Caenorhabditis elegans: one gene and its partners. The protein of the gene in region 3 interacts with the protein of the main gene of each other region in a pairwise test. Each region holds a gene or a part of one and is shown on either strand. Other genes may lie near its edges. The genes, in order: plc-1, lin-45 and let-60.

Region 1 (5,986 bases), on a different chromosome or scaffold from region 3:
ATATTTTCGTGATGTCTAGAATAAAAAATTTGTCATTCTTGCTAAACGATATTGGCCCTATTAAATAGTGGTATGTTTTTGTTCTCAAGATCATCATTGAAAAACAGAAACTGCATTGTTTATTTTTTCTGTAGAATGTTTCAAATGCCGTTTTAAATTTTTCTCAAACATTTCTCTCAAGATTTCATTAGTAAAGCCGAAAAGCATGTCGTCAAGATAAAATTAAAACTTTTATTTCCGAATTTTGATTACAGTTAATATTAAGATGACTATATTCATATTTTTACTATGCTTTTCACAAAATCCGACACAAACCTGGCTTATGAGGTTTAATTTAATCATATCACATTGGTTGGATATTTCAAAACTATAAGTAATGTTGTACAACATGATATGATAAGGGTTAGAATTTATTTAGTTTGGTTAAAAACTATGGAAATAATTCCTACATCTAGTAAGTTCTTCATTTTATCATTTCTTTGCTTTCTCAAAAAAAAACAAATAAAAAGAAAAGGACATGTTTCCGTTCGGCTTTACTCTATGAGTTTTTGTGGCTTTAAAAAAACAGAAAAGGGAAACAACGAAAGGGAGAAAGAAATGAGAAGCTGAAAGCCGAGTACAGTGGAAATATGAAAACGTATCTCGAACAAAGTCGGCAAACTTATACTGCACTTTCCGTTTTAAAAACAAGGAATGGTGCTGCATGGCTTTTTCACTTGGTTCAGAATAAGTTCAGTTTCAGTTTTTTCCGTTTGTTTTCAATGACGCATCAAGGACAATGTTGAGATTAATTTTTTGTCCTCATCAGTCTTCAATCTCTTCGACACTTACTCGTTTTATTATCAAAAGAAAAATTATTGAGAAACACGGATTAGTGAATCCTCCTTATCTTTGGCTCGACTATTCTAATCCCTTAATACTAGTTCACCACAATTTTTCCAAATCACTGAAAAACGAAGCAATATTTGAGGGAAAGAAATGGGCGAAACTTCTTGTGTTCAAAAAAAATTTAGTCATAATTAATCTCAAATCAAAGTAGAGAAGTGAGTGCATAGAATTATGGTTTCTTTGAAATTTCTGTGATACGAAATGAAAAATTTGAATTTCAAACGGTGTTACTAACACCTGCTGAGAGAGAAAGAAAACGGACAGAAAACTAAAATAATATTAAAGCAAGAAAAAAATAGACTTCCAACAAGAAATGTTTATGCTTCATTGGACTTATCACGTAAAGGATATCACGCTTTCAGAAAGTACAAGATTTTTTTCGTAAAAAACCTTATCACCTAAGTTTACCATATTGTTTTAATAGTTGTGCACCGCATTACCATGCTGTGGTAAATTGGCCAATCTTTTGATTTAACAAGACCTTTATTGTTCATTGTTTATAGTTTTGGAAACACAAATGTGTTGAAGTACTTTTTTGAATTTTTGGCTTATTAGTTTCTAAACCTTAAAATAAATTCCTAATAGTTAAGTTTGCGTTAAACTTTTTTCATTGAAAAAAATCATTAAAAAAGGGCTCCGACTGAACACAAAAGCGAAAAATAAGCCAAACTATCCAAAACGTTTAGTTTTTAACATTAAATTGTACAAAAATTTCCAATAAAGCATTTGGATAGTTTCGATTTTCTAGAAAACAGTTTTTTTAGAAAACGACTTATCAGCTATAACTCAATTTTTTGAATTTCAAAAACTGTTAATAAGAAAGTTCATTTACAATTTTGCTTATGTTCAAAATTGTGGTTAGTTGTAATAAATATCCTACAAACACACAAAACATGTTTCCTAATTCAGATATTTGAAGTTGCAAATTTAAGTAGAATTTCGAAGAAGGTGAGAACCGATGGAATTGGTAAAATATGAGTCATAATAATTTTAGATTAAAATGGACTATTTAATTGTTTTGATATTTTTGGACATGGATCTGAACTTAAAGTCCAAAAAACGCCATTAGATTCATCAAAGGTTTCTTACAGCTGACTAAACTATTTTGCAAGCTGCAAGGTTCTACATCTATAAAACATATTCTATCCAAATAGACATGGTTACATCAAAACTTTTGTCAATGACGCGATTTGTTTTGCTAGAATCAGATCATCACAAACTGCACCAAATACAACAAGTTTCGTCTTTAATCAGGAAATGAGCAGAAAAGTACGAGAAAACGGAAACTTGTGGGGCTAATGTGCTGCACATGACACACTGCAGTACGTAATCTCGAACGAGAAAATGTGTTAAAAATTGGAAAGGAAGCGGGTGGAAAATGAAAAATGGGGGATGTGAAAGATTGAGTTTAGCGATAGAATATTGCCAAATGGGCAATCGGCAAACGCGGCACAGGAAGAACGTAATTCGAAAAAAAAAGAAATATTGAAAACAGAGAAAGAAAGATTTCAAAATTGATATAGGAGTATTATCTATGTTATGGCAAGTTATACGAGTATTGGCAGACCTCTGAAACAACTAATTTCCGGAGGAAAATAACGGAGAGAAGTTTCGAGTTTTAGCCTATTTTAGTGTTTTCAGAAAGACATGGACAGAATGCTCCAAAAAAAAAAAGAAGTGGTGAGCGGAACAAAAAACAATGAAATTACTTGTCCGGAATTCGATAATTAGGGGTTGTCTTATTTGAACGAAAATAAAATGTCGGCAGCTATGTGATATCTGACACTAGTAGCATTATCAACTTTTCTCATTTTTATTTAAACTACCGAAATAGTTTCCATTCAATCATATATAATTTTTAAAATTCAATATTAATATTTCTCAAAAAAAATTGTGTACAAAAGAAGAAGCCAGATTTATCGTGCTTCTTCCTGTGTTTTATCAATGAAAAGAATACCTTGTTCGTCATATCTCCCCCATATTCATGAATTAATCCCTTGATTCCAGCCCTAATCTCATTTTCCGCCAACTCCTCAGAATAAGTACAATGCAAAAGGGGGATGGAGTCGCAAAAGGGAAAGATGAGCTATCTGTTTTACTACTGTCCGATTGTTATCTTATAACTCCAATAAATAAAACAATTGACATGAAGAAAACAAACGGAACTTAGAAAGCTGAAATTTCTGAAGCAACATTCGACAATTTTGAATAATATTTATCAGTATTACGTTTGAAAATGAATATACATATTCAACCTTTTTCTATTTGGAAAAGTTGTATGTATTCCAGTTTTGAAAAAATGAAAGTAACGCTATGTTTTTTTGTATTTCATTTCCTTTTTAAACATTGGTGTGTGCACTTTTAGAATTACTGTAGAGATTTTGAGTGCACATCGTCACAATGTTATTTTTGTTTTTTTTTAAACATTCATTATGAACAATAAACAGAACCCGATTACATAAAATGCAGAATTTTTGGAAAAAAGGTGTAAATTAGGAACAAAAAAGAGACAACGGGAAAAAGAGATTTACGAACAAAATCTCTACAGTAATTTTAAAAGAGTACCCACAAATTTTAAAAATAAACTTGCCAAGACAAATCCGCAAAGAATGCGTGTAAAAAAATCTTGTTTGTAAACTTATTCTCACTATCACTCTTGTAGCTTCTTATAGGTAGCAACTGTGGAAATTGAATAAAGACTCGAAATTCAACTGATCAATCAATTAGTCGTTCGTAGCGTTCCTGGTTATTAGGAAATTTGTTTGATTTTGATTAATTTTACAAAATTAACTAAACAAATTTAAAACTATTTCAACCTGTTAAATCAGTTTTTTGCGTAAAACAAATAACTCACCGATGGAAATTTGTGTGATGCTTGGCGTAAGGACATCTCTCGAAGAATGTGTTGCAAGAACTGCGACAATGTCGATGATACACTCATTTTCTCCGGTATCCACTTTGACAGATTACTTTCTTTCTTTGGACAAATGAACTTTATGCACACAGAGGAGATGTCTTTCTGTGCATGGAAGAAAGAAAAACGAAGAAGAGAAGAATCCGACAACAAATTGCTCCGTGACACCAGTTTTGCATTATGTATGAGATTTGTGCACTTATTCTAATCAAAAACGTCGAGTTCAATCTCATTAATGTTTTACTACTTTGAAGAGTTGCGGCTTTTTCTTTTTCTTCGCGCAACTTTTCATGCTGAATTTGTTCCGATATTTTGTGTCCAGACTTCAATCATGCAGAAAAAGAACATGCAATTGCTTAAAAAATGAAAATATGCGTATCCGAAACCTTTTTGTAACATTATTAACTGTTTCTAGTTGGAACCAGTTATTTGTAAATTTACATTAACACTTTGATTTAAATTTTCAATCAGGGCACAACTGAGTTTTTTGTTATCTCGGTCAATCACCAAGTACCATTGCTTCTTAATTATCAATGAAAACTTGTTTAAGCCCAAATAGTTTTCTTTAAAAACTTTTGAATTGAACTGCTTTGCATCATACGGCAAAATTAAAAACTGTACGGTATCATATTGCCGACCATTCGAATGCAAAAAAGGCAATGTAGTTCGATATTTACTCGTTATTTATTTGTTATCTTCCAGCGGCATCTCAATTCAATTTTAATCAAACTCGTGAAATTCCACTTCATCTTCTTTTGCGCCAAGGGTGCTGATTGGCACATTTCTCCTGCGCTTGCACACATTGCGTGTAGAGCGAATTTTCATTCAGTCTTGGTCGGTAACAAAAGGCTCGAATATTATTGTATTTTCTTTGTTGGGTTCATGTGCTCAACTGTATCATCATGATGACATTTTTTGCGAACGAAATAACGCGGTAAAATACATATGGGCAAATGCTCTCCAAAGAAAGTTAAAAGGACTTCACGCCGTAGCGTGAAGTTCTCTTGCAGAAGTGCGGAATAATGGAACTGTCCAATTTAAGAATTATTTTTGCAATTTTGTTCGTTTTTTCGGGTCTTTTCAATTTTTTTCCAAAAAATTGCATAGAAGGTTTTGCGACCATTACGGCCAAAAATGAGAAAAACAATTGTTGTAAAAAGTGTTTAAACGTTGTTTAATTTTCTTTATCAAGTAACATCTCAACGATTAAAGTTTATAACAGCGAACCAAAATATTTAATATTGTGCAAAATGGGGTGTTCGCGTGAACAACTTTTGGACTTTTCTCAATCAGTGTACTCAAAAAAGGTATTCATATTCTCATTTCGTAATTGTTTATTTTCATTGAAGTGTTTGTCATTTTTTTTGTGAAACAAATTGAATACCCGAATTTGATTAAATAAAAATGGTCCGTTCGTTATAGTAATAAAATTTCTATTGGTTAAAAAATATTTAAAATATGAATTCGTAACGATTTATTTTATTGATTTTTTGTTGCTTTTAAATGAGAAATAGAAGCTGTTTATCATTAGAATACGCGGACTGATGCGTGATTTCTTCTATATGCGTTATCATTTCCATTAATGGATTTATTGGAAATTGGATGAGCGTGGGCAGGATGGCGTAGTGGTTAGCATGCGCCAGCGATATTGTGATTGATTGGGGATCACTCCCATCCTTGCCCGATTTTTTTGTTTTCGAAAATTGCTTTTAATCATTTCTCACTATCAGGAAATAGCTTGGTCAAAATCAGCCTCCTCCAGCACTCATAATTATTGGCACTTTCTGACTACTTGTTGTCGCAAGTTTTTTTCCGATAAAAATCACTTTTTTTTAATTTTTGTAAATATATTCATAGTTAACTCTAACTTTTTGACTCTAACTCTAACATTCGCCAATGAAAACATCGAAATCTCACTAAAATCAGGAATCCAGACAATCCAATGAAAAAAAAATACTATAAATCAATAAAACAATAGATAATCAGCTATTTTTGTTTGAAAAAACCTCAAAATCAATTAAACGTTGTAACTAATAATCCGTAAATCCAATTAGACAAAACCCAAAAACTCCCCTTTTCCGTCTAGATAGGGCTAGATAGTGCAAACCATGAGAGCGCAGACAGAAAATACAATTTCCAACAAAGAAGATCAACAAAAACTAAAGAAAAATCAGATATTTCTGA
Region 2 (8,947 bases), 4.9 Mb from region 3:
GTGTCCATGTTAATTGTTTTGAGATATCGTTTCCATAATTTGGAATTTCATAATGATAATGAACAAGAAGTGATAAATCAGTCAAAAATCCAATTGCAAGATTTTGAACATTATGATTAACAAGTCGATCATTTTCCATTGCTTTTGTTATTTCATCCATCATTGATTTCAGTTTATTCCAGAATTTTACATCGAATCTTTTGGATACAGCAGTTTCGAAGTCAGCGACAAACATTTTCATTAAATGCTGGAATTATTCTCATTTCGATAAATCAACACCTCTCAATCTTACTCTCAAATACTGTGGTGCAGCTTCGGTGCCACGTGGAATTTTTCTCAACTCTACAGTAAGCTGTTCCCATTCGTCCGACATCCTGTGGAATCCTCTGGAACAAAATTGTTTTGTTTTTTTTTCAAATTTTAAAATATTAATCTGAAATCCTACACTTTTTCTAGCCACTCAAAAGAAGAAACAGGAAGTCAGGCGAAAAATTATTTTATCTTCAACTTTTTTTGTTTGCAAAAATTAAATGATTCAAATAACCCGGTTCAGAAAAGGAATGGGGATGCTGCATTTTGAAATTAAAATAAATGGAAGTTTCAAAATGTGTTCGAAATGACAAAAACAAAACGGATAGGCATTGGATTCTATATAATTCTATACATACAGAGAATCTTTGGGATGTTTGGAAACGGAAATGGGGTGGGAACATTGAAAACTTATCAAAAGAAACGTTTTCAATAAAAAGCATTATAGTTGGAAAAGAAAAAGTTCTACCGGTTTAGCCGAAACAAAAATATGAAAATTATCACAATTTCACATGGGGGAACGATTGCAGGCGGACTTAGACTGGAAAGAAAGTATTTTGGTGGGATTTTTAAGTTTTGGAGGAAACGGTGAATACGGGGTTAAAATAATAATAATAATATCGGGATGGGTGATGAGGGGGTGAATAATAGAACAGGATTCAATGTGACGAGAAATGATTAGTAAAATAACGATGGGCGAGATTATTCTTCGACTGGAAGTTTTTTGGTTAGTGTACACATGGGGTAGGGAAAATCACTGGGAAGAATAGAAAAAAGAGAGAAAATAAAGGTACATATTCGGGGAGAGACGAGAAAATCAACTAAAAAGTTGCAGTGTCCCTTGATTTTCAAAAAAAAAAACAAAATAAAACTAAATGAGACCATAGACATTGTAGTATGCCTTCTTGTTAGCAGCGGCCGCTGCTGCTGCTGATTGTGGGGTTTTTGCAGTTGCAGGTGGAATATATGACCAGGAAAGCATTTGGCTTCTCATTACAGCATCCATCACCGAATATTGCGAGTCTAAGTGAAGAACATTCGGAGCTGATTGAGAACGAGTCAATTTTGGAAGAATTATGTCGCGAAGTCGTTCGAGAACCTGAAAAATTGGAATTCATTCATTAAAATTTATTTAAAAATCAAACTACAATATTTTTTTGGATTTTTCAGTGTAGTGGAGTTATTCATGAGCGAAAAAAATGTTTTTAAAAAATACATCGATTTCTTAAAAGCATGTTTTTATCCATTTTTCGACAGCGTCAAAGAGTGAAAAATCAAAGGAAGCCACCATATTTAGACAAAACTGCCAATTTTAAATGTGAAAAAAAAGAGCGAAAATGTGTGAAGTACTGGAAGAAAATAAATTCCGAATTGTCCTCGCGGTGTACACGGGGAGAACGCCCAGCTCGTAAATTTACACAACTTTTGAAGAGACATAGTCATATGAAAACGTATGGTCTCGCCGCATGGCGGCTTACTGTAGTTTTTCGCTCGTCGACGCTGTCGAAACATGTACAAAGTACAAAAAATCGATTTTTTAAAAGTTTTTTGACACTCATGAATAACCCCATAATAAATCATAGTTCTACCAAATTTCTAAAGTCGGTATTTCCCACTCACCTCTCCAAATACTGGCCGCTCATTTCTATCGAACATAATGCAATTGTCATATAATTTGAGCATGCTCTTCGGCGTATCATGTCGAATTTTCGATCTATCCGGCCTCAAATACCCTCTTCCAACCATAAACAATATCTGATCTCGATTATTAATGTTGGAGTATGGTAGATGCGAAGATAGAATTTCGTACATGCATATTCCAAAAGAATACACATCAGACTGTGGGGTATATGGATTATCATCTTGCATTCTGATGACTTCAGGTGCCATCCAGAGAATACTTCCTGTTGGTTGTTGTTGCTGTTGACCTCCGTTCACTGTCCATTTCGTTTTGACAGTTGCCAAGCCGAAATCTCCAATTTTTACCGTTGACATGTCATCCATAAGGAATATATTGTTCGTTTTCAAGTCACTGAAATGTTTTAAACATTTAAACATAAATTATAGATATGGTCAGTTACCGATGAATAATATTTTTTGAATGTAAATAATTCATTCCAAGAGACACTTGCTTCAGTATATCAATGATAGCACCCATTTCAAATTCGACGCGTGGCTCTGAAAATTATTAAATTATAAGAATTAAAATCTCAGTTCAGATCACCTTGAACATGAATATGTCTATACAAACTCGATCCTTCACACCATTGAGTAATAATTGCAATTTCTGGTTCTCGAACCCATCCCATAAACAGCAAAACATTCAAATGACGTGTTTTCTTTAAAACTGCAACTTCATTTTTAAAGGCTGCCATTTGAGAAGGCGTCGGATCAACAACATTCAGCTTTTTTATAGCAACAGTTCCGAAGAATTCTCCACGATAGACGGTACCGAAGGATCCCGAACCAACTTTGTATTGAATCTAAAAGAATGCTTGTTTTAATAGTTTTGACAGAAGTTTTGAGCGTTTTTTTATTGCTTCAACTGTAAAAAAAAAAGCTATTTTCAGATAAATAAAATGTTTTTTTTCTATATTCGATCACTGAATTTAAATGAAAAAAATTAGGATAACATGCTCCTTTTGTAGAACTGCCGGTTTGCAAAAGCCGTGCACCCTTGCTGATGTAGAATAAACTTACAATAAATTCATTCGGCAATATTTCCCAATCCTCATGATGTGGTTTCTGTGGCGGCCTGGGTCGTTGTGCATCAAGTCGTTCGCCTGGCGATCGACTACGATTTCGGAAGAAACCAGGTGAAATCTAAACATTTTTAATTGAAGAAAAATAGATTTTTTTGAATTCTACCTTCTGAGGAGGTGCTGATTGTGGTGGTGTTAATGGGAGAGTATGCAAATGAGCGGCTACTAATGATGACGTCGTTGATCCTGATACATTCGGGGATTGTCCAAGAGTAGGTTGTCCGATTAAGCCACCTGGAGGTGATGAACATGTAGATGAAGGAGAATTCGAGCCAAGAGGAGTACAGTCAACAAGTGGGTGAAGACGATTCATTCGAGCTCCTGAATAATTGAGAATAAGTGAAATTAAAATAATTAGAGTCGTTTGGGAAATTCTTGAAGGTGGAATAGAGTAAAAATTGTTTTTATAACTTTAGAAAAACGTCTTAAATTTGGAATTTTGTTTTTCTTCCCTGACCTTTTGACGAATCGTTATGTTTTCTGTTTTCGATTACCTGACAAAATATGTCCACTCTGGAAATGAGGTCGATGACGTGCTTGTGTTGAAAGTAACGATCCAGTTTTATCTCGTGATTCTTCTTCTAATCGCTGAGCTTCCAATGCATCAAGAATTCTTTGCTGAAAATAATACATTTTAGACTTTTTCTTTTAAAATTGGTGACTATTACATTATGTTGAACTGTTGCCTCATCATTAATCGCATTGATATTCGGAGCAGAAGAGCTCCGATCCCGTGGATAAGGTCCGGATGGAGATAATTGAGATGTTTCATTCTGTGGAGAAACAGCCATTGGATGTCTTTTGACACCACCCGTTCGTTTAATACTCGTCAAATCTGGATGAGAACTGTCTGGTGTGGCAGCTGGACTTTGTCCACTCGTTGGAGCTAGATTAGCAAGAACTATTTCGGCAACTGATCTATCTGGGCCTTCGACTTGTGATGCGATCCCAAAGAGTTCTTTCACTAGCTGAAAATTAAATGTTTTAGATAAGAATTGTTTCTGAAGCAGAGGTGAGCAATTACGCCATGTTGTTCCAACATTTTTCATTAAAAATCAGTGTAAAAAATATATAGAACCACCTTAATTATCTAATGATAACTTTTAATTATGTTTAAACATCTATGAAAATGCACAAAAATGACCTAGAAGTTGCGAATTGCCTATGGCAAATGGCCATTATTGTGCATTTTCACAGATCTTTAAACATAATTAAAAGTTGTCATTAGATAAATAATGTGGTTTTCTATATTTCGACGTTAATGACAAATGTTGGGACAACATTGGTAATTTTGTAATATTGCCGCCCGCCTTTGTTCTGAACGCACATCTTCATTTTTCGGTACAGATTGTAACAAATCGCAATAAAGTGGTGCAAACGATGAGCATCTTTGATGAAATTTGAATTGACAAAATTCACATCGAAATCCCATCATCCAGATAGGATTATTGCATACATCACATGATTTCGGTGGAATAAACGTTCTTCGAACAATTGCATGTTTAATCGATGAGACTGTATTCAGATATTCTGAATGAACCCATAATTCATTTCCAGGCAGTCGGGATGCGATCTCTTCCATTGTCAGCTGAAAATATTCAAAAATAAGAATTATGCTGTTAGATTCCAGTAAATCACACCGATAATTCAATAGATTCTTGTTTTGGGTCAGATGACGCGTTCACGTGACATAATTGAGGTGTGATATTCCGTTTTTTGAGCAATTTCGAAATGGCATCCCGCGCGGTTTCACCGGGACGAACCTGAACAAAATGTGCTTATTTTCTTCGTTTCACAGTGAATTTTTTGCTTACTTCAACCCTAGAATGTTGATCAAATGGCAAATGAACCATAATCATTTTGTATTTGAATTTTGGCGGTTCCTTGTCACTTGTTCCTGCTCCTCCAGCGGAATGATGTCCAGATAACGAATGAAGACTATCACTGTGCTTTGGATAAAGAGGAGTTGAAGGACTTGCCATCGGCGAAGCTTGATCCTGAAAATAATTATGAGTTACATATAAATATTTAATTGATAATCTTTGGAATGAGAAGTGGACGCTTGATTCTGAATTGAATAGATTAACACGATTCCCCACAAGTAACATGTAATTAGTGTTAAAAAATTCAAGACAAAGGATTCGTTGCTAATTTTCTACCTTCCGATCAATAGATGAAGAAGCACATCTCGGCAGACTTATAAGCCGCGGAGATGGGCAATGTGGGCTCGTCGGGGTGGTCGACGCCGATGACTTTTTGAAATTAATCCGACTCATTCGGCGGCGTGTCGACGATGATGATGGCGTTTGAGATGATGTGACAGGTGACTTCTAAATTGCTGTTAGTGATTACATGTAATTAAAAAACAAAAGGACAATTTGGACGAGTAAAACATTAAACACGGACTTTTAAAGGACATTTGAGAAATCAGAACAAGCAATAAGTAAATTACTTTTCAGATGCTCTATTTTATTATTGTGAAGCACTTTTTAAAACAATCTGAACAAATAAATGTTTCCCTTTAGCATTTTTCACTTTCATTTTATTTGTGGAAAACGTTCGAAAACACACCGTTTCGCGAGAGCATTCCATGTGAAAATTGCAGTTAATTCCAAAATAAAATAAACCAGAAAATCAATATATTCGCAGATAGAAGGTCAACAAAAGAAAGAGAGCGGCGGTAAGGGGCGCAAAGATGATTTTTTTCTTTTCCGAGAAGAGTACACGGAGGGAGTTAGTCCGCGGGCCGAACACACTTTTCTCTTCCATTTTCGCGCAGAAGATTTTAACCCAGATTTTGCAGGGTTTATTAGAATTTTCAAATAATAAGGACAGCGTTGCGCTCGGTTATATGAATTTATGTAGATGGAGTGAAGCTTTAAATAAATCTATTATTAATGGAAATATGGAATACGTTTATTTTCATTAGTTGATAAATTAACTTTTCAAATCTACAGTAACTCGATAGCTGAAAAGAAAAGTTAAAACTTGTATTGAAAAAGATGTTACGAATGAAACGTGGGATTCCCATGTTCAAAAAAGGAATCACGAATGTTCAATTTGCTGGCCAATTAAACAATTGTGTTCGCAAAGTTTTAAATGCAATCGTGTATTTTCTCAATACAGAAGCCCCGCGGGTTGCTTCATAAAGTCATTTGATTATTCAAATATCACTATGATTTCACAGAGTGTACCCTATTGATTTAAATCAGTTTTCAACTTACTGGTGCCGATTTCCGACGATTCCAGCCTCCATGAAAGTGACAAACTGAATACAGTACAGCCATTGCAGACATTTTAAAATGTTATGTGATCAATTATGGAATATAATTATCTCCAGATAACTTTAGAAGAATTTCAGAAAGTAAAAATATATTGTTAACAGGGGCCCCTTTGGATCCAATGGTTCTCTTCACACACAAAAAAAGAGAGGCGGGGTTTGTTTTCGCCATCTATTTTTTCTCACTGGTTTCTGTGCTCTGATCGAGAGAGATAGAAAAAGAGAGCAAAGAAAAAGAAACGTGTAAATCGGGAGCGACACGTGCCACGAATAGGTTGACAATGTTTTCAGCGTTGGGTCTTAACACGAAACAGATGACCTTAGTTTGTGAAGAGAGCAGCAAGTTGATTTGAAGAAACAAGGTCATACGTGACAAAACACAAACTAGAAAAGAATATATTCGAAAAAAACCACTAATCAAATTATAAAAGAAGGAACTAGATGACATTTGGTTAATAAGCTACTTCTAGTTAGTACACCCCGAATTAGCTGTGAAAGTTGAAAAAACGGGAAAAGTTTATCTGAAACTGACAGACTAGACAAATGTCTGTGACATATTGCAACTAAGATTTTGCAGAATGTGGACATTTTTGAGAAAAAAGGGATTACATGACTCAACTGATTACCTTTACGTTATGGTAATTTTCAAATTTTCTGAAAAGTGAACTGATCTGTTAAGATTGGTCTTGCCACGAAAAAATAGTTCATTCTAGGATTTAGAAAAATTTGGTATCATTTGCTTCCTTGGAATCAACTTAACTTAAGTATTACTTATCAACTTATTATCTTAACATTTGTCAACTTTACCACTTTTAAACAGTTATTTTGAAACTAAATTTTCGAAAGTTGGAAAGCAGAATAAAAGCAGCTGGCATCACGGAGATTAAAACATATGTCTTAATGTGTTTTCTCGCGACGAGACCCATCTGAGTTGATACATGTTTTGAGGAATAAGCGTGAGTCTAAAAATCTATTTTGAAAAATCTATGAAAAAAATCCAAATTCTACGAATAAAAATCAATGGGATCGCGCATCAAATGTGTTTTGTTCGTTCCGCCTCTTCATTCCACTCTATTCTCATCTTTTTCCGCCAATTTCCACTTGAAAAGTGCGAACAATTCCTCAAAAAAGAAACAAAATACACTATATTCCACATCAAAGAGGTCATTTTTCTATCAAATATTTGTTTTGGTTTATCAAAAAGATTGAGGTTCTAAAGATTATTATTAAAAGTTTTAAATAAACAAACTACGAAAGCATTATTTTGATCTAATGTTGACTATACAAAACTTTTTCAAATTTCTTTGATCACTAGAATTTCAAAAAAAAACCTATTTCAGTATAATTGTAGTTCGCAAAATAACAATTATTTTCATTTTAATGTGAGATATCGTAGTTCTTAATATAGATTTTCAACAGAAATTCAGAAATTTGGCTTCATCGAAATTAACTTTGAATCGTACATTGGGACGTCCTGTCTTCAGAAATTTTCAGCCGACATGCTCAAACGAGCTCCAAAAAAGTTTAAAAGTATCTATTGCAAGGTTTTCGCCAGCTTTAGAAATTAACACCAAATCTACCTCTACAGTTAAAAGTTTAAGAGCATTGGACATTTCAAATTGAACGCTATTCAAAGATTATAATCAAAGATTATAATCGAAAAATCGATTTTTCGATTTTAAACTAGATCCCTTGAAACAGTGAAAAAATTTCTATGTTTAGTCGCTCAAAAACCTCTTCATACTCTGTGTGCTCGTTGTACTCAAAGTTTGTCTTTTTACTACATTTTGTATAGTTCGATTGCTTTTCCTTCCTCCTTTCCATCTTTCCCTTCTTGCTCTTTTGCTCCTTCTGGTCACCAAAAACATCATGATCATTGATTTTCTCAGCTTCTCTGAGTATCTTGAACTCTACTGATCTTAAATCAGTTCGGTGCAAAAGAAAACGAGAAAGAAATGAAGAAAAAGAAGAAGATATATGTGTATGTGATATATTTATTGTTTGAGTGATTTAGTGACAACAAGACTCGGCTGACTTTTGAACTAGTTTTTAGGGGGCTCTAGTTATAGATCAACTGTAGATAATACTAGAAGTGGGCGCATGATGCACACATCGCCAACAAAATCTGGTCAACAAATAAGTTTTGACATATTTTGTAAGTTTACGATTTGTCTGAAATTTTGTATGGGCTACTTACATATAGTGTGCAGTTAGTATATACAAGCCTACAAGTTTTAGCTAAGCTTCTTGGTACTTTGTTCTGAAAATATGTAACATTACTAATTTTTTTGCGATATTTTGGATTAGGCCTTTGAGTTTTGATGTTAAGTAATAACTAAATCAATTATGTTTTGTTCGTAGATGAGAAAAATTCATCACAACATTTCATCAAAATTGGACCACACACACAGAAATTTTATAGCAAATGAGAAACAGTGAAATTTACTAAAAAATATTAAATTTTTCCGATTATATTTTTTCGTTAAATATTTAACTAGACAGTGAATAAGTTCAATTAATTGCATAAAAAACAATTTAAATTTTTTTCAGATCAAACAACTAAGAAGCTATTAGCTGAAACTAGCTGAAACTTTTA
Region 3 (6,453 bases):
TTCCGCGCTCGTAGATATTTTTTGAGTCTCTAATTTTGGATCCTATTGAAGTGGGTGTTTTCGTTGCATATTTCAACATATTTTAATTGAAAGTGTGGCTTATTTCTTGTTGACAGCCCTATTTTAAAACTAAATATCACTAAAATTATAATGTTTGGTGAAAATTGTTCCAAAAAGTCACAAGTTCGTGTTTTCATGGCACATTTCAAGCAACTTTTAATATATTTTTTTTCCAGACTACCGAGGAAAAACTTTTATTTAAAAATACACTGTTGAGAATGGTATATTTCCATCATAATTTTTACCTACCAAACGTATTGAAACTGTGGAAAAGTCTGTGGAAAAAATGCCGAATTTCCAAATTAAATGTGACTTTTTGTGAAAATTCAAGACGTTATCGAAGCCATGTTTGAAAAAAGTTTGCATATCTAATATTATTTTTGAGAAAACTTGAAGTTTATAAAACTGTTAGATTAGTTGAAAACTAACCGTTTCGAAAATTCAATAATGAAATATCTGTTTTCAGGTTTTCATTTCCTCTAGTTGCTCATTTCAATATATTTTAATATCAAATTCTACTGGAAAGTATGTGTCATTTCTTGTTGACACCACTATTTTCAAACTAAATAAATACCACGATAATTATATATTTTGCAAAAATTGTTCAAAAAGTATCAAGTTTTCTCGTTCTTGGCATATTTCATGCAATTTGTAATTCTTTTTGTCTCAGTTATGTCATAACTTTTTCTAAAAATCCTAAGTTATTCTAGATTATTTGGGAGCAAACATTTTTAGAAATTCCCAAAGTAGATTAACAAAGAAAATTCAAATATAAATCTACTGGACATTCAAAGAAAAGCACTTAGACAATTTGAATCGAATTCCTCAAATTCTTGAACTATTTTTTAGAGGATTTCAATTGGACAGAAAGAATCTCAAGCACTTAACGTCGGCGGAAATAGTTTTTTTTTTTCAAAAAGAGACCACCGCCTTTGCTAGAAACGAAAATTGCATGCGTTCCATTAAATAATTCAATTCATCGTTATCACCATCCTTCGTCGTCGTCGTTATCGTCAGAAACAGATAGGGATGGGTCGATACAAAAAGAAAGTGGACAGTTCTTTTCTCTCACTCTTTTTCTCTTTTACAAATCACACTTGTTTCGTCTCACACACGCTCACTTCTTGTCTCTTCTCCCAACAGTCGTCGCAAAACCGTCAAAAGCGTAGCGGCTGTCGCGTCGCGGTCGTTCGTGTCTATGCATCACCGTTTCTAGTGCTCTCTAATTGTCCCGCCGTAGCAGTAGCAGCAGTAGCAGCGGCATGGTGGGGACCGCACTCCTTTATCTTTTACTCTTACTTTGTGTGTGTGTATGGGGGGTGCGAGAGAAAGAGATAAAAAAGAAAGAAAGAGAGAGTGTGTGGTTTCTGTGCTTCTGTGCACTCCAGAGCCTCGGATTTCTTTTCCTATGAACTTCATTTCTCGTCTCCATCATCAGAAGGAAGAAGAATTCTTCAGAATCTTGCACTTGAAGCGTTTTCTGCCTATTTATTTTCTCCTCCCGAGTTCATCTCTCTATTCGTCTTTAGCTTAATCCATTTTATTAGGCACGCACCCGCTCCTTGGTTCAACCAAATGAGAAGATAGAAAAGATGGAGCAACGCATCCCAAATTGTGTGATAGGATTAAAGTAGTGTGGAAGAAAAAAAAATGCAGAGTGAGAGAAGGGGCAGTCTTCTTTTCCGGTCTTACTAATCCTAACGTCTTCTTTTTCCTTCCTATCTCTCATCTCTCAACTTCTGAAATAGTTGAGATGAGTGATTTCGTAAGTTCATTATTCTTTTTTGTCAGTTTTTGCTTATAGTTCCTACGGGAATCATTGTTTCTTAAACATGCTACTTCTTTAAACAATTTATATTTAACAAAGTAAAATTGAACGTTTTTTTAAAAACTTTCTAACTGAATTTCGTAAATTTATTTGTTTCCTTGTGAAAAATGCTTGTCAGGAAAACTTTACTTCTCTACGTCTCAATCTCTGCAATCTTTTAACGAGAGATCGGAGAATTTTGTATTGGAAAAGTGAAAAAGAAAAATGAAAGAGACCCACTCGACACTGAGGGCGACCGAAAAGAAACCGACGAAAAAAAACGACGATTCGAGCCATTTGTCAGCGACAATAAGTGGTCGGGTCGCACCACTGTCCGCCGTCTCACCGATTTTAACATTATATTGTCCCCCTTTTTCTTCATCGCTTTGAAATCAATTTTTGATGAAGTGAAGACCTTTTTTCTCCTGGTTTTTTTTTTAATAATTGCATTACCCCATTTTTTAAAGTTCAAAATTACTCAAACTATTTGAATTCTTCTTTTTTTCAAATTGTAATGACTCATTCTCCGTCGTCTTCAAATAGTTACTCATTCCGACTCACCACCTAGTTTATTAACAGGAAAGTTCATTCTTTTTCTATCTTCTCAATTATTCTCAAGTAGTCATCATCGGTTTTTTATTTCTTTCCTGGTAGTTACTCTCCTTTATCGAAACTTTTTTTTGAAAAAAAAAAGAAACGGAATTCTGAGTATGCCGATAGGCAGAGCTGCTCTTTGGCAGTGCTCCCACAGAAATCCTTCTCCACTTCGTTTTCTCATTTCCATCTCTATTTTACATTTTTCCATATTCAACTATGCGTCTTTTTTCAGAAAAGGGTAATGACGGAGTACAAGCTTGTGGTAGTTGGAGATGGAGGAGTTGGTAAATCAGCACTCACCATTCAACTCATCCAGAATCACTTTGTCGAAGAATACGACCCGACCATAGAGGACAGCTACAGAAAGCAGGTGAGAAATCATTGGGAACATCCGCTACACACATGTGGTGGGAGCAAATTGAACGAAAATGATGGCATTTGAAATTGAACAAAAAAACGATGAGTCAGAAGTTTGGAAGTTTTTTGAAACACATCGAGCTGTTTAATTGATTCCAAAGACGAATAAATCGTGCTGAAACACGAAAAATTCCGAAATTTTCGAAAAAAAACCAATTTTTCGTGTTTTGGACACGACATTATAAAATGGCTGGAACTGAAAAAAATGGCTCGAATCATGATTTTTCATTGTCCCCCGAAAATTCTCACAAAAAAAAATTGGAAAACCGAAAATTTTAGTTTTTGCAAAAACCGGAAAAATTCTGAAAACACTCCAAAATCGATATTTCTCAGACGAATTTCAATAATTACATTCCGTTTTACGTTTTATACAAAAAACAGAAATTTCACTTTTTTTTTGAGAAAGGGCCCAAAACTTTTTTTTAGATTTTTTGTTTTTTTAAAGCAAATCGATAAACCAGCATGCCTGCTCGTGTCGTGTGAGGAGTATAAATTTTTTTAAACGTATATTCATCTTTAAACTCTGAAATTCAGAATATTATTGAGCCCTAATTTTCAGTGTTTTCATTTGAGTTTTTAACCAGTAAAAATAGTTTTTCAGTTTTAAAAATTGCTCCGAGAGCTAGTTTTTAAATATTCTAATTTCAGGTTGTGATAGACGGTGAGACATGCCTCCTCGACATATTGGATACCGCCGGACAAGAAGAATATTCGGCGATGCGTGATCAGTACATGAGGACAGGCGAAGGATTTCTGTTGGTTTTCGCCGTCAACGAGGCTAAATCTTTCGAGAATGTCGCTAACTACCGCGAGCAGATTCGGAGGGTAAAGGATTCAGATGATGTGAGTTTTTTTTGTTGAAATTATCAGTCAATGGTTGAATATTTGTATTTCTTCTAGGTTCCTATGGTCTTGGTAGGGAATAAATGTGATTTGTCATCTCGATCAGTCGACTTCCGAACAGTCAGTGAGACAGCAAAGGGTTACGGTATTCCGAATGTCGACACATCTGCCAAAACGCGTATGGGAGTTGATGAAGCATTTTACACACTTGTTAGAGAAATTCGCAAGGTAATTTTTTAGTTAAAAATTTAAATTAAAAATAATGTTTTTAATGTACAATTAAGGTACAAATTCAGTCATTATTATATGAAAATTGAAAGACGCGAGATTTTGATATTTTCGCGCCAAAAATACGACACCCGGTCTGTTCGATTTGCTCCTTCAAATATTATGGTAACTTTATACTGTCGTTACAGCGGAATTTTCATCAATTTTTTTAAGTTTTCGATATTATAAAAATATTTAAAAACACAGCAGTTTTAATAAATCGGTGAAAATTACCCCAGAAACGAAATATTAAAGTTACTGTATTCTTTAAAGGCGCACATACGTTTGCATTTAACACAAATTCATCGTGTCGAGACCGGGCACCGCATCTTTAATTTGAAAATCGCCAAATGTTGCATTTGAGTAATACAAAAACGTTGTTTTTAAAAATTTTCTGTTTTGTAAAGCTCTAAAATGTTATTATTGTTATCAACAGTTTCAAGTTTCCATTTTTCACTAAAAACGAAAAATGTAAGTTTTTCCGATATTTCGAAACAAAAGCTCAAAGTTTTGGTCATTTTCTTAATTTTTAAAGAAAATTATATGTTTTCTTTTGTTTTTTTTCTCACCAGCATGCACAAAATCTGATAAAAAATTGAGTTTTATTGTTAATTTTCTAAAAAAAATTTTGATGACACCCTAGATTGATATCCGAAAGATTTAATAATGTTTTCTTTTTATTTCAGCATCGTGAGCGTCACGACAATAATAAGCCACAAAAGAAGAAGAAGTGTCAAATAATGTGATTCAGCGTCGGGAATTGCCCAATTTCGCCAACTCATTTTCAGTCGTGTCAACTCCCACCCAATTATCCTTTCTCGTACTTTTTTGGTACATTTTCATTATTCATTTATCTGTTTTATCTGAAACTTGTGATCGATCCTCTTCCGCCTCTACATACTCTTCGAATTTCCACCTTTTTTTCTCTATGCATCGATTGAACTTGTTCTCTCGTCTGCTCGTCATTATTTTTTCTCCTTTTTTTTCTTCATCCTTCATTCTAATTCCTCATCTTTCGCTTAGCCCAAATCTCCATTCATTCATAGGTGTCAAAACTAGCTGTAGTGTGTGATCCATATCTAAAACATGCATCCGAACCCCCTCCTCGTTCCAAAATTGGCCAACTCTACCAAAAAAAACATCGCACCATTTTTTTTTCACTTTCTCTGCATATTTTCAGAATGTTTGTATTGCTTTTTTGATGCTTTATTCCCCTTCCTCGTTTTCATACAAATTATTGGCCTCATCTATTTTCAGAAGTTCTCTGAAAATTAAATTCTTTTGCATCTGCCGGTCGTTCCGTTTATTTTTTCTCTGTTTCCTCTCATTTTTGTCAAGTAATTATTTCTCTTTCATTAACTATAATATAGATACAATTAGACCCCATTTCTCATACATTTTCTGAACATCTGAAAGTTTTTGCTCCCTCGTATTGCATTCATTTTTCTCTATTCCTCTACATTTTATAGTCCTATCTGAATATAATATTCCTATTCTTTTGATCAAGTTTTTATTATTATTTTATTTTCAAGGAAGTATTGCAATGATATAAATTTTAAAAAGCTAATATTATTTTTTTAAATCTATTCAACTATATTTTGTTAATTTCAGTGTTATATTTTGACCTCGCCATCGGAGCATGATTTTAAAAAAAACTAAATTTAATTTATTAGAATGACGAGAAAAAGGAAAAATGTAGAGTCTGATGAGAATCCTCCAGCGAAAAACTCATTTGAAGGATACGGATATGCTGCTGCTGATGCTGAGAAGAAGCCACAGGAGGAGAGAAACAATTTCAGAACTTTTCTAGCCAAAAATGAACGATTTGGAAGTGGAAATCGAGGTGGAGGAGGTCGTGGAAGAGGAGGAGATGGTGGATTTAGAAGAAATGATAGAGGTGGACGTGGTGGTGGTGGAAGAGGATTCGGTGGTAACAGAGAATTCAGTGCCGGAGATTTTGAGAAGGTTTGTGTCAGATGGTGTCGTGAGTGATGTAGCGTCTCTGGCTTTTTAAACTCAAAATTACAGAAAAAGTTTCGATATGTCGAGTTAAAAACATTTCTAAAATTTGTATTATTTTGCAAAAAATAAAAAAAAGCCGAATTATTTTTGAATTTTTTAGTCATTTTCCTGGACAAAAATTGTTCAAAATGTGGAATTATAGGTTTTAGACCAATTTCATTTTATCGAATTTCGTTCGGATTTTCGAGGTTTCTTTCCGAAAAACTGTCTGAAAAAATGAGCGCGGGAATTCACAAATATTTCAGTATTTTTTTGAAATTGAATTTTAAAAAATTTATATTCGATATATTGAGACTTTTTTCTGTGAAGAATCGATAAAATGAACTCCAAAGCGCTCCCTAGGCAATTACCACAAAAACGTATATATTTATTTAATTTACAGCAATACGGTCGAGTTGGCGGCGGTGATGACACGAATTCAGGACAACCGGATAGCTACG

The links.
Region 1: the proteins of let-60 (region 3) and plc-1 interact in a two-hybrid assay, tested with the Caenorhabditis elegans proteins (one study listed by BioGRID).
Region 2: the proteins of let-60 (region 3) and lin-45 interact in a two-hybrid assay, tested with the Caenorhabditis elegans proteins (one study listed by BioGRID).

The regions. Positions count from the first base shown.
Region 1 is NC_003284.9:10,834,873-10,840,858, forward strand, and holds the start of plc-1 (Phosphoinositide phospholipase C), read right to left. Parts: upstream 3,779-5,986; coding exon 3,743-3,778; intron 1-3,742. UniProt on the Caenorhabditis elegans protein: The production of the second messenger molecules diacylglycerol (DAG) and inositol 1,4,5-trisphosphate (IP3) is mediated by activated phosphatidylinositol-specific phospholipase C enzymes. plc-1 is a bifunctional enzyme which also regulates small GTPases of the Ras superfamily through its Ras guanine-exchange factor (RasGEF) activity.
Region 2 is NC_003282.8:6,742,058-6,751,004, forward strand, and holds lin-45 (Raf homolog serine/threonine-protein kinase), read right to left. Parts: upstream 6,368-8,947; coding exon 6,296-6,367; intron 5,758-6,295; exon of another isoform or gene 5,664-5,757; coding exon of another isoform or gene 5,643-5,663; intron 5,402-5,642; coding exon 5,231-5,401; intron 5,069-5,230; coding exon 4,886-5,068; intron 4,835-4,885; coding exon 4,712-4,834; intron 4,660-4,711; coding exon 4,399-4,659; intron 4,040-4,398; coding exon 3,740-4,039; intron 3,690-3,739; coding exon 3,566-3,689; intron 3,393-3,565; coding exon 3,178-3,392; intron 3,133-3,177; coding exon 3,010-3,132; intron 2,793-3,009; coding exon 2,534-2,792; intron 2,488-2,533; coding exon 2,391-2,487; intron 2,342-2,390; coding exon 1,930-2,341; intron 1,409-1,929; coding exon 1,181-1,408; 3' UTR 481-1,180; downstream 1-480. Other genes in the region: smg-7 (DNA/RNA-binding domain-containing protein), read right to left, coding at 1-247, 293-373. UniProt on the Caenorhabditis elegans protein: Protein kinase that participates in the induction of vulva and has roles in fertility and viability. Acts downstream of the Ras protein let-60. Required for progression of developing oocytes through the pachytene stage.
Region 3 is NC_003282.8:11,687,330-11,693,782, reverse strand, and holds let-60 (Ras protein let-60), read left to right. Parts: upstream 1-2,694; 5' UTR 2,695-2,705; coding exon 2,706-2,834; intron 2,835-3,529; coding exon 3,530-3,724; intron 3,725-3,781; coding exon 3,782-3,952; intron 3,953-4,677; coding exon 4,678-4,737; 3' UTR 4,738-5,556; downstream 5,557-6,453. Other genes in the region: ZK792.5 (Nucleolar protein 9), read left to right, coding at 5,666-5,956, 6,396-6,453. UniProt on the Caenorhabditis elegans protein: GTP-binding protein with GTPase activity. The level of let-60 controls the switch between vulval and hypodermal cell fates during C.elegans vulval induction. May stimulate the guanine nucleotide exchange factor (GEF) activity of rap-1.